3 linked regions of the Danio rerio genome follow. The protein of the gene in region 1 interacts with the protein of each later gene in a biochemical or structural test. Links are inferred from orthologs where the notes say so. Each region holds a gene or a part of one and is shown in the gene's direction. Other genes may lie near its edges.

Region 1 (3,662 bases):
CCTTATTAAAGGGACAAAACAGGGGTGTATGGTACAGTCAGCTATTTTGCTACTTCTGACAAACAGTGGAAACAAATTTAGATGTATACTGTACTATGCTTTAGTAGTAAACTAGCGATCAGTGTTTCTTTTCCCCTCCATAACCTCCATGTTTTAAATACACAGTTGAGATGTTACACTGTAACAATATATACATATAACAACAAGCTATGGTTGACCCGAGCTTAAACAAACCTTGTCGTCATCTTGTTGAACAGCTACAGAGCTGTTGCGCAAAAAAACAAAGGGAGAAGCCGGAAAAACAAAGGAGTAAATGATTGTTTCAGCAACCTAAAACATGAACAAACTGCTGTGTTTAAGTATTATATTCACTTCTAGACTATTATGAACCCAGAATGACGGAATTACTTTCTATCAAGAGGTTACATGTGCTGGTGAAATTAAAGATACAGATGAGAGATTTGCACTGACTGTGAGCTATATGTTGCAAGTTGTTTTTTTTAACCCAAATAAAGACTAAACATATGCTGCGTGTAGTTTTTCTGTAACTGGTAACTTATCGGAGACTGTAAGGGGCTGCATGTATTCATATATATTGCATTTATTTATTTATTTATTTATTTATTTACCTTATATAATTGCAGACGTTACAGTAGGTTAATTCACACTGTCATTGATCTGCAGTCATAATCAAATCATGTTCATTGAAAGGTTAGTAATGAACACTTATACTTAAGTATTTATGTGTATAAAGTGTCTGTTTTGTGAGAAATGCTTCTCATATGATATGTGAACAGCCTGTACAGCTTTACTGTAGACATTTTCTTGAGCGAGAATAACATCGACTGAAACTTTCTGTCGTACACCATGCACACCAAAAGAGTACCACTGATACCCTTTTAGCAGTGGAAACGCAAGCCTGATAACGGTGACCCATACTGTACCACTCAGTGGAAATGGGCCATAATACAAGCTGGGGGCTGCTCAAAGTGCTTTACAGCATTAAAACAAAATTATGCATTAAAACAAGAATGTCAATAACACAGCATGTTGCACTACTGACAGTGCAACATTCATGATAATACAAAGTTTTATAGGGAGGGTATTGCACAGTTTTGGACATGCCACTGCAACCTGGATCTGGGGACCTCCAGCAACAACTGGCCTGCTGATTGTAGGGCCCTGTTAGCTTGATGAATCTTTAAAATTGCACATAAATGAGAAGAATGACTATGATGGGATCAATTAAAATTTCTAGAAAATAAAAACCCATCATTTTTAGTTACAGAAAGCAAATCTTTAAATCCATATCCAAAACACATGTTTATACATTTACTATCATTTTTTTAAATCAATAACCTTTTGGCTCTGACTATACGTGGGATGTATTTTTTCATATAATTATTATTAAGTTATTTTAGTGTCACTAAAATATTTAGCCTCTTCTTAATGTCTCACAGCTTTATTCATTGTATTTTGTTGTATTTCATGTAAAATCTAGTTTCAAAACGTTGCTTTAAAAAACAATTGTAACATCAAGAGCTTAATGTTTTAGTTGAAAAAAATCACTTAGTTCACCCAAAAATAAAAAAATAAAAACAAAAGAAAATATTATGAACATTTCTGGAAACCAGTAACCAGTAACCTGTGTTCTTGTAAGTTATGCCTATTTTAGAAAATTACAAATCTTGTGATTTAAATAAACCTAAAAAAAAAAAAAAAAAGTTGAATAATATACAGATTTTGTATGCTTTGTCTGTTTTTTTGTGTGTGTGACTAACCATCATCAAGTTAATCTCAAATGTTACCCCTAAGAAATATTGTGTAACATTTGTTCTGTCTTAAATACTAAAAATAATGGTGAAATAGCTGTTGAATTAACACCTTGTTCTGGTCCGCCTGTGTTCTTCAGGTTACCCACCTCTCATACCTGCTTCAACGTGCTGCTCCTCCCCGAATACTCCACCGTGGAGAAACTTAAAGAGAGACTCCTTAAAGCCATCACTTACGCCAAAGGCTTCGGCATGCTCTGAGGCTAAAGAACTCACTCTAGCCCTCAGAGGAGAATCAGCTACATCCACAACTAATCGTAAATATCAAGTTTAAATGTAAGGCAACATGAAATGGGTTCAAAATGGGGAAGTTCTGGTGACCGTGTGCCTGTGCCTAAAAAGTAGATAAAACCACACTGGACTCATGGCTCTCTCTCTTTCTCTGTCTCTCTCTCTCTCCCTCTTATGTAAGTGTTCAGGTTCCCTTTTTTTTGTATGCACTGAGATATAGCGTTATTTATTTTAAGGGATGAAATCTCTTGTCATGTCTGCCAGGAATTCCACACTTTTGTTGCTTCATAGTCATAAAAACAGGAGGGACGGTTGGAAGTTTTCAACGGCTGCAGGACTGATCACCAACTAAACTTAATAAAACAAGATCAAAGGGAGGAGGTGGAACTTTGTTGTATTACGGTTGAACTGTGAAAGTGCACTTAACTCTATTCAGAATGTCTTTGTTTTATTTTTGATTTTTTTTTGTCAACCCTTAGGCTTTTCTTTTTAGTTTTGGCTCGTGCTTCATTGGTCTTCCCTAGTTCGTTCACATTTGCGGCAATGTTTGAAAGGTACAGAGCAGCCTCAGTCTCAGTTTGGCATCCAGGAATCTGTATTTATTGAGAATCTGCATTGTTTGTAATGCCGTCGTGCTGCTCGTTTATGGCCAGTGTTCTGCATTTCGCTTCAGATTCGACTTTTTCTCTCCCTCACACACAACTGACCGGTTTGCTAAAGATCACAGTGGTGCACTCCTGCCGAAAACGAGTAGTGTTATAAAGGAGAGATCTCAACTTCCTATAAAACTCTGTCAGAAGCTTCCTACTAGTGTTTGTTTGTTTTGTTATCTGTCTTGTTTTAATTCAAGATGGCAGACTTTTAGTCCATGAATGCTAATTGACGGTGCCCCATGAAGAAAGCGTTTTAGTTGCGCTTTTTTTTTTCTTTGCTCTGCACAGTATCTGGCCCGATACATTTGGATGAAAATGAGGGGAAATTGGCACAAGTCGTACCACTATCTTGTCGTGCCAAACAGTTATGCTGAGAATCGCCGCTCCGATTTTGTTCAGGCGTAGCTGGTAATCCAGATTAGTGATGCCCTGTTCACTTTTTTTTTTTTTTTTTTGTTTATTTTGTTTTTCCTTATTCCCTCTTGCAGATTAAATGTGACTGTGGTTTGATCCACTGCTGATGGCGCTAACATAAAAGGGGGAAACAGAACTTGATATTGAGAATGACAACATTTGATTGTTTCAAGTTATTCTTAAATAAATTCAAAACTGAAAAACAAACCGTGTGTTGATATGTGGTCAAGAAATCATGTGATGCAGCTTTTGGGGTCTTTTGTGGTGTGACACAATTAAGAAAACTTCTTATAGCGGGAAATGTATGGAGCTAGTAATATGCCAAAACAATCTGAAATGTGTTCAGTTGAATTATTGATGTTTGTAATTTTTTAAATCTGCATTCTTATGCCGTTAAAATGGTTTTGAATTTAAATTTCTTGATTTGAATTTGAATTTCATAACTTGAATATTGAACATCTGAAATTTAAGATGACTGAATTTTTCAAGGCTGAATTTTCATAGACATATTTTCAAACATCAAATTTTTTTT
Region 2 (3,662 bases), on another chromosome or scaffold:
TATAATTTAAATATTATTTTAATAAATATATCTGTTTAATAAATCTGTTTTGTTCCAAATGCACCAAAATACATTGATTATATCCACTGAGAAATGGATGAAAATATTAATTTTCAAAATGTGGTGTACTTATTTATGCTTAGCACATAAACTAACAAAAAATATAAATGCGTCTCTATGTGGATGTGTGTTTGATGTTCTGCAGAACATTACACTTTATTTTACTTGTTGTTAGTTTATGCTTTATGTTTGTGCTGTTAAATATTAGTGCTCTTGATTAGAGTAGATCTTGATTTCTCGGAAAAGAGGTTAGGACAGTAAACACTTGAGTGCAACATGGGGACTGAAGTACACCAGTCTTTGAAAGAAGCGTAAAGCCTCTCATCAAACTCTGTCTTTAGACCTTGAGAAAAGTACAATTAGTTCTGTCTGAACACAACGGAGAACATTTTTCACGTTCAGACGAACTGAGTGAGATCAAGGGACAGCAAATATTGAAGACAGCATTATAACCAAAGCATGTTGTCTGAATAAAACTAGTCTTCTTTTTTAAAGGCAAGACTGCTTGGAAACGTCATTTGTCATTTGGTGACACTTTAGAACATTTCTGAGATCATGCAATCAATCTGCTGGACATCAGAATTAAGACATAATAAATATTTACAAACACTGGAACAAAGGGTCAAAAGGAAATGGAGATAGTCACACTTGCCCCCTGTTTGCAGTCACGTACATATTCTCAATGCACGCTGCCAATTTTACTTTTGAAAACTCTTCTGATTTTCTAGAACTGAATTGTCCATATACTCTAGGGTGTATGCTTCCATAATGGTTATCAGATGACCCCTTTTCACTATATTTTGTGCATGCTTATTTCCTATTTTTTACATTCAAAATCTAGTTTAACCCTGTTAAATGTGATCTTTATTTTAGAATTTACTTTTTAAAAGGATGAAAATGATTACAAGTTAACATTAGCATTTTATGTTTATGGCCCTTTTCGTGATGAAATTTAAACTTAATTAAAATAAATAACACATTATCAAATGACCCCTTTTCACAATTTTTTTTATTCATTCATTCATTTTCTTGTCAGCTTAGTCCCTTTATTAATCCGGGGTTGCCACAGCGGAATGAACCGCCAACTTGTCCAGCATGTTTTTACGCAGCGGATACCCTTCCAGCCGCAACCCATCTTTGGGAAACATCCACACACACTCATATACTATGGACAATGTAGCCAACCCAATTCACCTGTACTGCATGTCTTTGGACTGTGGGGGAAACCAGAGCACCCGGAGGAAACCCATGCGAACGCTGTTACTATTTTTTGCGCATGCTTATTTCCTCTTATTTATAACCTGATTTACAATTATAATCTAGTTTGAGATGTGAGAGATGACTAGGAGGAGTGCTAAAATAAAACGCCACCCTCCTCATGTTCATATAGACTTTAAATACTATTGCTTTAATAATTATTTATATGAAGTGTAACATCTAGTGTATTGACTGTTCACCTCTGTTTTTGTGCAGGTCCAGTGTGGTGTCCTCTCAGCAGGCAGCCGTGGGCCTGTGTGAGGAGCTGTGCAGTGCCACTGACAGGCAGGAGTTGTACACTGGATCCAGAGCGGCTGGAGGCTTTGATTCAGGGAAAGAGACTCGCTTCTGTGCGGTGTGCAGTGACTACGCCTCTGGATATCATTACGGAGTCTGGTCGTGTGAGGGATGCAAAGCTTTCTTCAAGAGAAGCATTCAAGGTGACCAGCCTGTTTTACATGCAGTCTTGTTGTTCTGAATATCAGCAGGGATGTGACGCGGCTGCAAATAAAAAACAAAAACAAATCACAGCTTTGTTAATACACTGTAAAACCCAACAGTCAACTTTATCAAATGAAATGACTGTAGCTGACTTAAAACATACTGAAAGGTAATTCTACGCATTTGAAAAGAGTTTTGAACTCAGTGTTGAAAGTAATGAGTTAAATAAATACTTCATTTCTTTAACTTAAATGGAGGAAGGATTAGCTTTGAAACTTAAATTGTTTGTTGGAATCGGTTTACGCAAACTTCTGCAAATGTTACCTTAACTTTTTGGGTTTGACAGTTTATTCACAACAATAGATTGCACGTTTCATCTTGCTCATACAATACAAATCAAAAGTAGATATCATGAATTTTACATTGGTGGTGGGGGTTTTGTTTTAAAAAGTATTTTATTTGTATGCTTAAAAAAAAAAAACTAAATATTTACATTAAACATAAATCAAACCCCATAAACAGCCAATATTGGTATAACCATGTAAGAAAACATCACCTAAATTTTTCCATGACTATGACCAAAATACCTAAACATAGGACATTTTTCAAAAGTTAAACCTGAGTTTTGTGTTTTTGTAACTCTGTCTAATTACACTGCAAAATGCTGCCAAGACACAAGACTGGATGATGCTATGATTTGCTATTGCATGTACACAGAAAAAAGTCAAAACGGCAATTCATCGATGGATTTGCTATTGCATGTTCACATAAAAACAATGCAGTGAAATGAAATGCAAAAATTTGTGCTGTTTGAATCACCTCTTTGTGCTGTTAGAGTGCTGCTCAGCTAATCAAAATCAAGGACCAACACTTACACAATGTCTTGCATCTAAATATGCATGCTTTTCTATTATATATATATATGTGTGTGTGTGTGTGTGTGTGTGTGTGTGTGTGTGTGTGTGTGTGTGTGTGTGTGTGTGTGTGTGTAGCAGGTAACAGTGCAAACTGAGTAAATTGTCTGATATCACAGTAATCTTTAAACAGTTATTAAACTTTTATGTTTCCTATATATGTTGTTTTATGTTATGCTCCTCTCATGTTTCCATGGTGTCCACAGGGTCCAATAAAGTTATGTCTTAAATTTCAAAAACTAATCTCAGGCCCTTAAATATTGTCTGGTAGGTCTTAAATCATTTTAAATGGGTCTTAATTTACTTTGTTTGTGTAAAGCTACCCAGTCAATTCAACACATATCCTATGGTGCCTGGGCCCTACTGAAATTGCTCTGGTTATTGTAATTAATATTATAACAGCTTGTTGTGCATACATTTAGTTTATTAAAGGTTTTTTTTTCAAAGCGTTTTTTTTTTTTTTTTGTATGTTTACAACTAGGGTCTGCTTGTTTTGAAACATTTTTTTAAAATATGTGGCTAAGAAATAACTAATTAGAATTAGAATTTTGATCAGGCAAGTAAAAACAAAAATTTTATCTGTGCCATTTTTAAAAATCCTTAGCGTTTAGCCCTATACAAGTCTACAATTTCATTCTTGATTTATTATTTTTGTACTTTTTTTCAACAAAGAAATTTTAACATAATTTTATGGATTTTGTTTGGCAGCCATAGCTGCCAGTCATTTGACTTTTTTTTATTTATCTTTTTTTTTTTTTTTTTACAATTTTCATTTTAAAAGTGCAACTAATTACAATATATTACTTTAATTTTACATTCTTTTATATGAAAAAAAAAACGGGAAAAAACACTGTAAATAATACTGCGATTTTACTGTATAAAAACAGTCAAATTGCTGTAATTTGTCATTAATTATATTATACATAAAATAACAGTCAGGCTGTTAATTAACAGATATTGTTTGTAATTTTTACGGAGTTTTGAATATAA
Region 3 (3,662 bases), on another chromosome or scaffold:
TATTTTAATCCCTTTTATAAATTATTTTATTGATTATAAAGATTTTTTTTTATCCATTCAAGAATTATTATTTTTTTTTTTATCAAACTTTGATGCGTCACTTGCTTTTGTTCATATCTCAGACAGTTTAACCTATTAAAGTTAAGTATTAAAATATTAATGACAACAGAACATGGGTTACTCTACAAATATATATAAATGTATGTATGTATGTATGTATGTATGTATGTATGTATGTATGTATGTATGTATGTATGTATGTATGTATGTATGTATATTTTTATGTTATATTATGGAAAGCATAAAAGTTATATGCTTAAAAGGCAATAATGGTCCAACGTTCCTGACCATTATCACTAATAATGCCTAGAAAAGCAGGACATTGGTGTTTTGTAAACCAATATGTTCAAATATACTTTTCCAGTTAACAAAGAAATAATTGTGTTGCTTCATTTTAGTTTTGTAACTATTAAATTGTTTTAAATTCATAATGCAATATACACACATCAGTGTAAAACCCATGAATGCTGAAAAAACATTCTCCACACGGGTCTCCACTTTTTCCATGACCTCTCTTTTTGGTTTAACAAACTTTATCAAAAACTTTCCTCCTTTCATCCTTAGTATTTCTTTCGAAACCATTAGCACTATGAAATATGCCGGTAAATATCATATCATATATAAGAATAAATATCATAAGTAGAAGAAAAGAAAATCCAAATCTCTTTGTCAGAGTTATCATATGACACATTACCAGTATTTTGAAGTCAGTTACTAAAGGTTTAAAACAGAAGTCACCAATCTCGGTCCTGGAGGGCCGGTGTCCCTGAAGGGTTTAGCTCCAACTTGCCTCAACACACCTGCCTGGATGTTTCAGGTATACCTAGTAAGGCCTTGATTAGCTTTTTCAGGTGTGTTTGATTAGGGTTGGGTTGCTAAAATCGGCCCTCCAGGAACAAGTTTGGTGACCACTGGTTTATATTTATGATTTAATGACAACGAAAATTGCACAAAATAATAGAAATTTAAATGTTAATTTTAAAATAAAATATTTTTAATCCTTTTTAATTTCAATGCATGCTGCAGTGTAAATACTGTTTAATTTCAAAATAACGACAATGTTCAAATTATGCTCATACATATGGCAAGAGGAGTCATTTTTATTTTGATATTATGCTGCAGTAATTAAAACGAACATTAAAATAAGCTAAAGCATTCAAACATTGTTTTGTTTTATGCAATCGGGAATTTAGAACCACTACTTTAATAAATACTTCTTTATTTAATTGATCGTGTTTTTGTGATTTGCAGGGAAGAGAGGAATCAGACGCAGGTATTGCGACAGCAGCAGGACGAGGCTTACGAGGCATCACTGCGAGCAGATCAGGAGAAAGACAGAAAGAAAAGAGAAGAACAAGAGCAGAAACGGCAAGAGGAGGAGAAAGTACGCCAGACCGTCCTCGCAGAGGAGAGACGACGAAGAGTGAGTGCTCAGTATTATATGCAGAAATTTCACAAATGCTTAAGTCTTGCCTTAAAAGTAGGGCTGCATGATATTGTAAAAAACGTACATTGTATTTTGCAGTCTTTCCTGAGATAACTTAATAACTTGAGATGTTTTAATCTGCATAACTTATAATAAACAAATTAAAAGCAGATATAAATAATGTAGATCGAATATACAAATGAAGGAGTCTAACATCATACAGGTACAGAAATAGAATAATCAAATGTATAATAAAGCTGTATCTTCTTCATTGTATAAATAATTAAATACAATTAATCTTTGTTAATCCTTAAAGACCGAAACAGCCGCCCGTGGCTAAAAAACACTATTGTTTTTTAAATGTTTAATATCTTTTGATCCGCTGATCTGATCCGAATTTAAAGATTGGCATAAAGAGGAGAATCTTAGCTCTCTATTGCTGTAACACATTGCATTCACGGACCTTCAGAGGCTCTGGATTCAGTGTGGTTACGTCATCACATTTTGACAACGCTGATTTGACAAAGGAACGCTCGTGGCTTGTGTCTCCGAACAAACCAGACATGATGCATTGATGCATTGTCCCTCCTCCATGCCCAGATTGGTTTAAACTCGCTCTCTCTCCACCAATAAGCATAGGTTTTGCTTTGGTGGATAACCAATCAACTATTTGAACAACCCGGAATGAGAAATAGGCTGTACATTTACGCACGGCTAAATAAAACGCAAAAAGTTTTGCATGAAATAATCCTCATACTGAGTACTTTTGCATGCACAACAGCACAGAAACATTACAAAACAGTGACACAGCAAAGACCAAGTGCTGGTCTTGCTGTTTTCAAAGCACGCAAATAGCGGTGCGGCTGTTTGTCTGCAACACTAAAGTTGAGAAGCAGCAGGGTCAACACCATATGCTGGCTCAAAAAACCTACGGATGGTCCATATTGAATCTATTTTAGTTATGTAACTATTCATAGTATAGTAAATGATTATATGTATTTTTTTACTGAGGATTTGCACCATGTTTATTTGGACTTTGACCATTATTTATAATTTTCTTATTTTTATTTGTTCATTGTAAGTGGTGTTTATGGTAACTAAAAATATGTTTGGAAAACGCCAAACTTGCTTCAGTGTTCTGTTATTTTGTAACAATCTTTCTGTTAAGTTCATTCCCAGAACTTTTGGGCAGATACACTGTCAGTAAATAAATGCACTAGTTTTTTCTCACTGAAAAACGACTTAGAATAACATTGAAATAAATTGCTATAACTTGCTCAGGGAAAGGTGGATGTAGACAATTTATTTTGGAAGTATAAAACATCATAGCGTGTATTTCTAAAGAAAAAAACAAACTTCATAAGGTTTTGTTTGTAATAACTAGAAAATGCCACTTTAAAAAAAACAAAAACGTTTTCCTAAAATTCTGGAATATTTTCTGTCTGTTCATATGTTTTTGGACCAAAAAAAGACTGGACCTTTAAATAATACAGATTAAAGCTTCAGGTTTTCCTGTTTAAAATATTATATGACACTTGAGGCTGACTGCTAAAATAAAAATAAAACTGCTTAAAAAATAAAATAAAATAAATATATATATATATATATATATATATATATATATATATATATATATATATATATATATATATATGTGTGTGTGTGTGTGTATATATATGTATGTATATATATATATGTATGTATATATATGTATGTATATATATGTATGTATATATATATATATATATATATATATATATATATATATATATATATATATATATATATATATATATATATATATATATATATATATATATATATATATGTGTGTGTGTATATATATGTATGTATGTATATAGGCCCATTAGGTGCCCACAAAATACCTCTAGATCTTTAGGGGTTAAAGCTACACACATAATCATTCCCGGTGCTTTAAAATGTTTAAACATGCCTTAAAAACTCAAGCAATTGTTGAACATTCACTTTATTATGGTTCAACCAAAATGACTCCAATATTTCTTATCTCAACTGTTATTTAACTACCTCCTTAACTATAATCCTGACTCCACATTGCACGTCCTGCGATGTGACTATGGCAAATTTACACATTGCAATAATGATATAGTCATAAGTTGCTGATGTGACAATAAATAAACAAGTAAACAAACAAACA

What was found.
Region 2: the proteins of ube3a (region 1) and esr1 form a complex in vitro, tested with the Homo sapiens proteins (2 studies listed by BioGRID, with this or other methods). The link is inferred for Danio rerio from reciprocal best matches to the Homo sapiens genes UBE3A and ESR1.
Region 3: of the proteins of ube3a (region 1) and faf2, one has a biochemical effect on the other in vitro, tested with the Homo sapiens proteins (2 studies listed by BioGRID). The link is inferred for Danio rerio from reciprocal best matches to the Homo sapiens genes UBE3A and FAF2.

Annotation. Positions count from the first base shown.
Region 1 is NC_133181.1:41,335,862-41,339,523, forward strand, and holds the end of ube3a (ubiquitin-protein ligase E3A), read left to right. Parts: intron 1-1,912; coding exon 1,913-2,033; 3' UTR 2,034-3,337; downstream 3,338-3,662. UniProt on the Homo sapiens protein: E3 ubiquitin-protein ligase which accepts ubiquitin from an E2 ubiquitin-conjugating enzyme in the form of a thioester and transfers it to its substrates.
Region 2 is NC_133195.1:29,090,284-29,093,945, reverse strand, and holds part of esr1 (estrogen receptor), read left to right. Parts: intron 1-1,533; coding exon 1,534-1,757; intron 1,758-3,662.
Region 3 is NC_133189.1:56,134,227-56,137,888, reverse strand, and holds part of faf2 (FAS-associated factor 2), read left to right. Parts: intron 1-1,311; coding exon 1,312-1,483; intron 1,484-3,662. UniProt on the Homo sapiens protein: Plays an important role in endoplasmic reticulum-associated degradation (ERAD) that mediates ubiquitin-dependent degradation of misfolded endoplasmic reticulum proteins.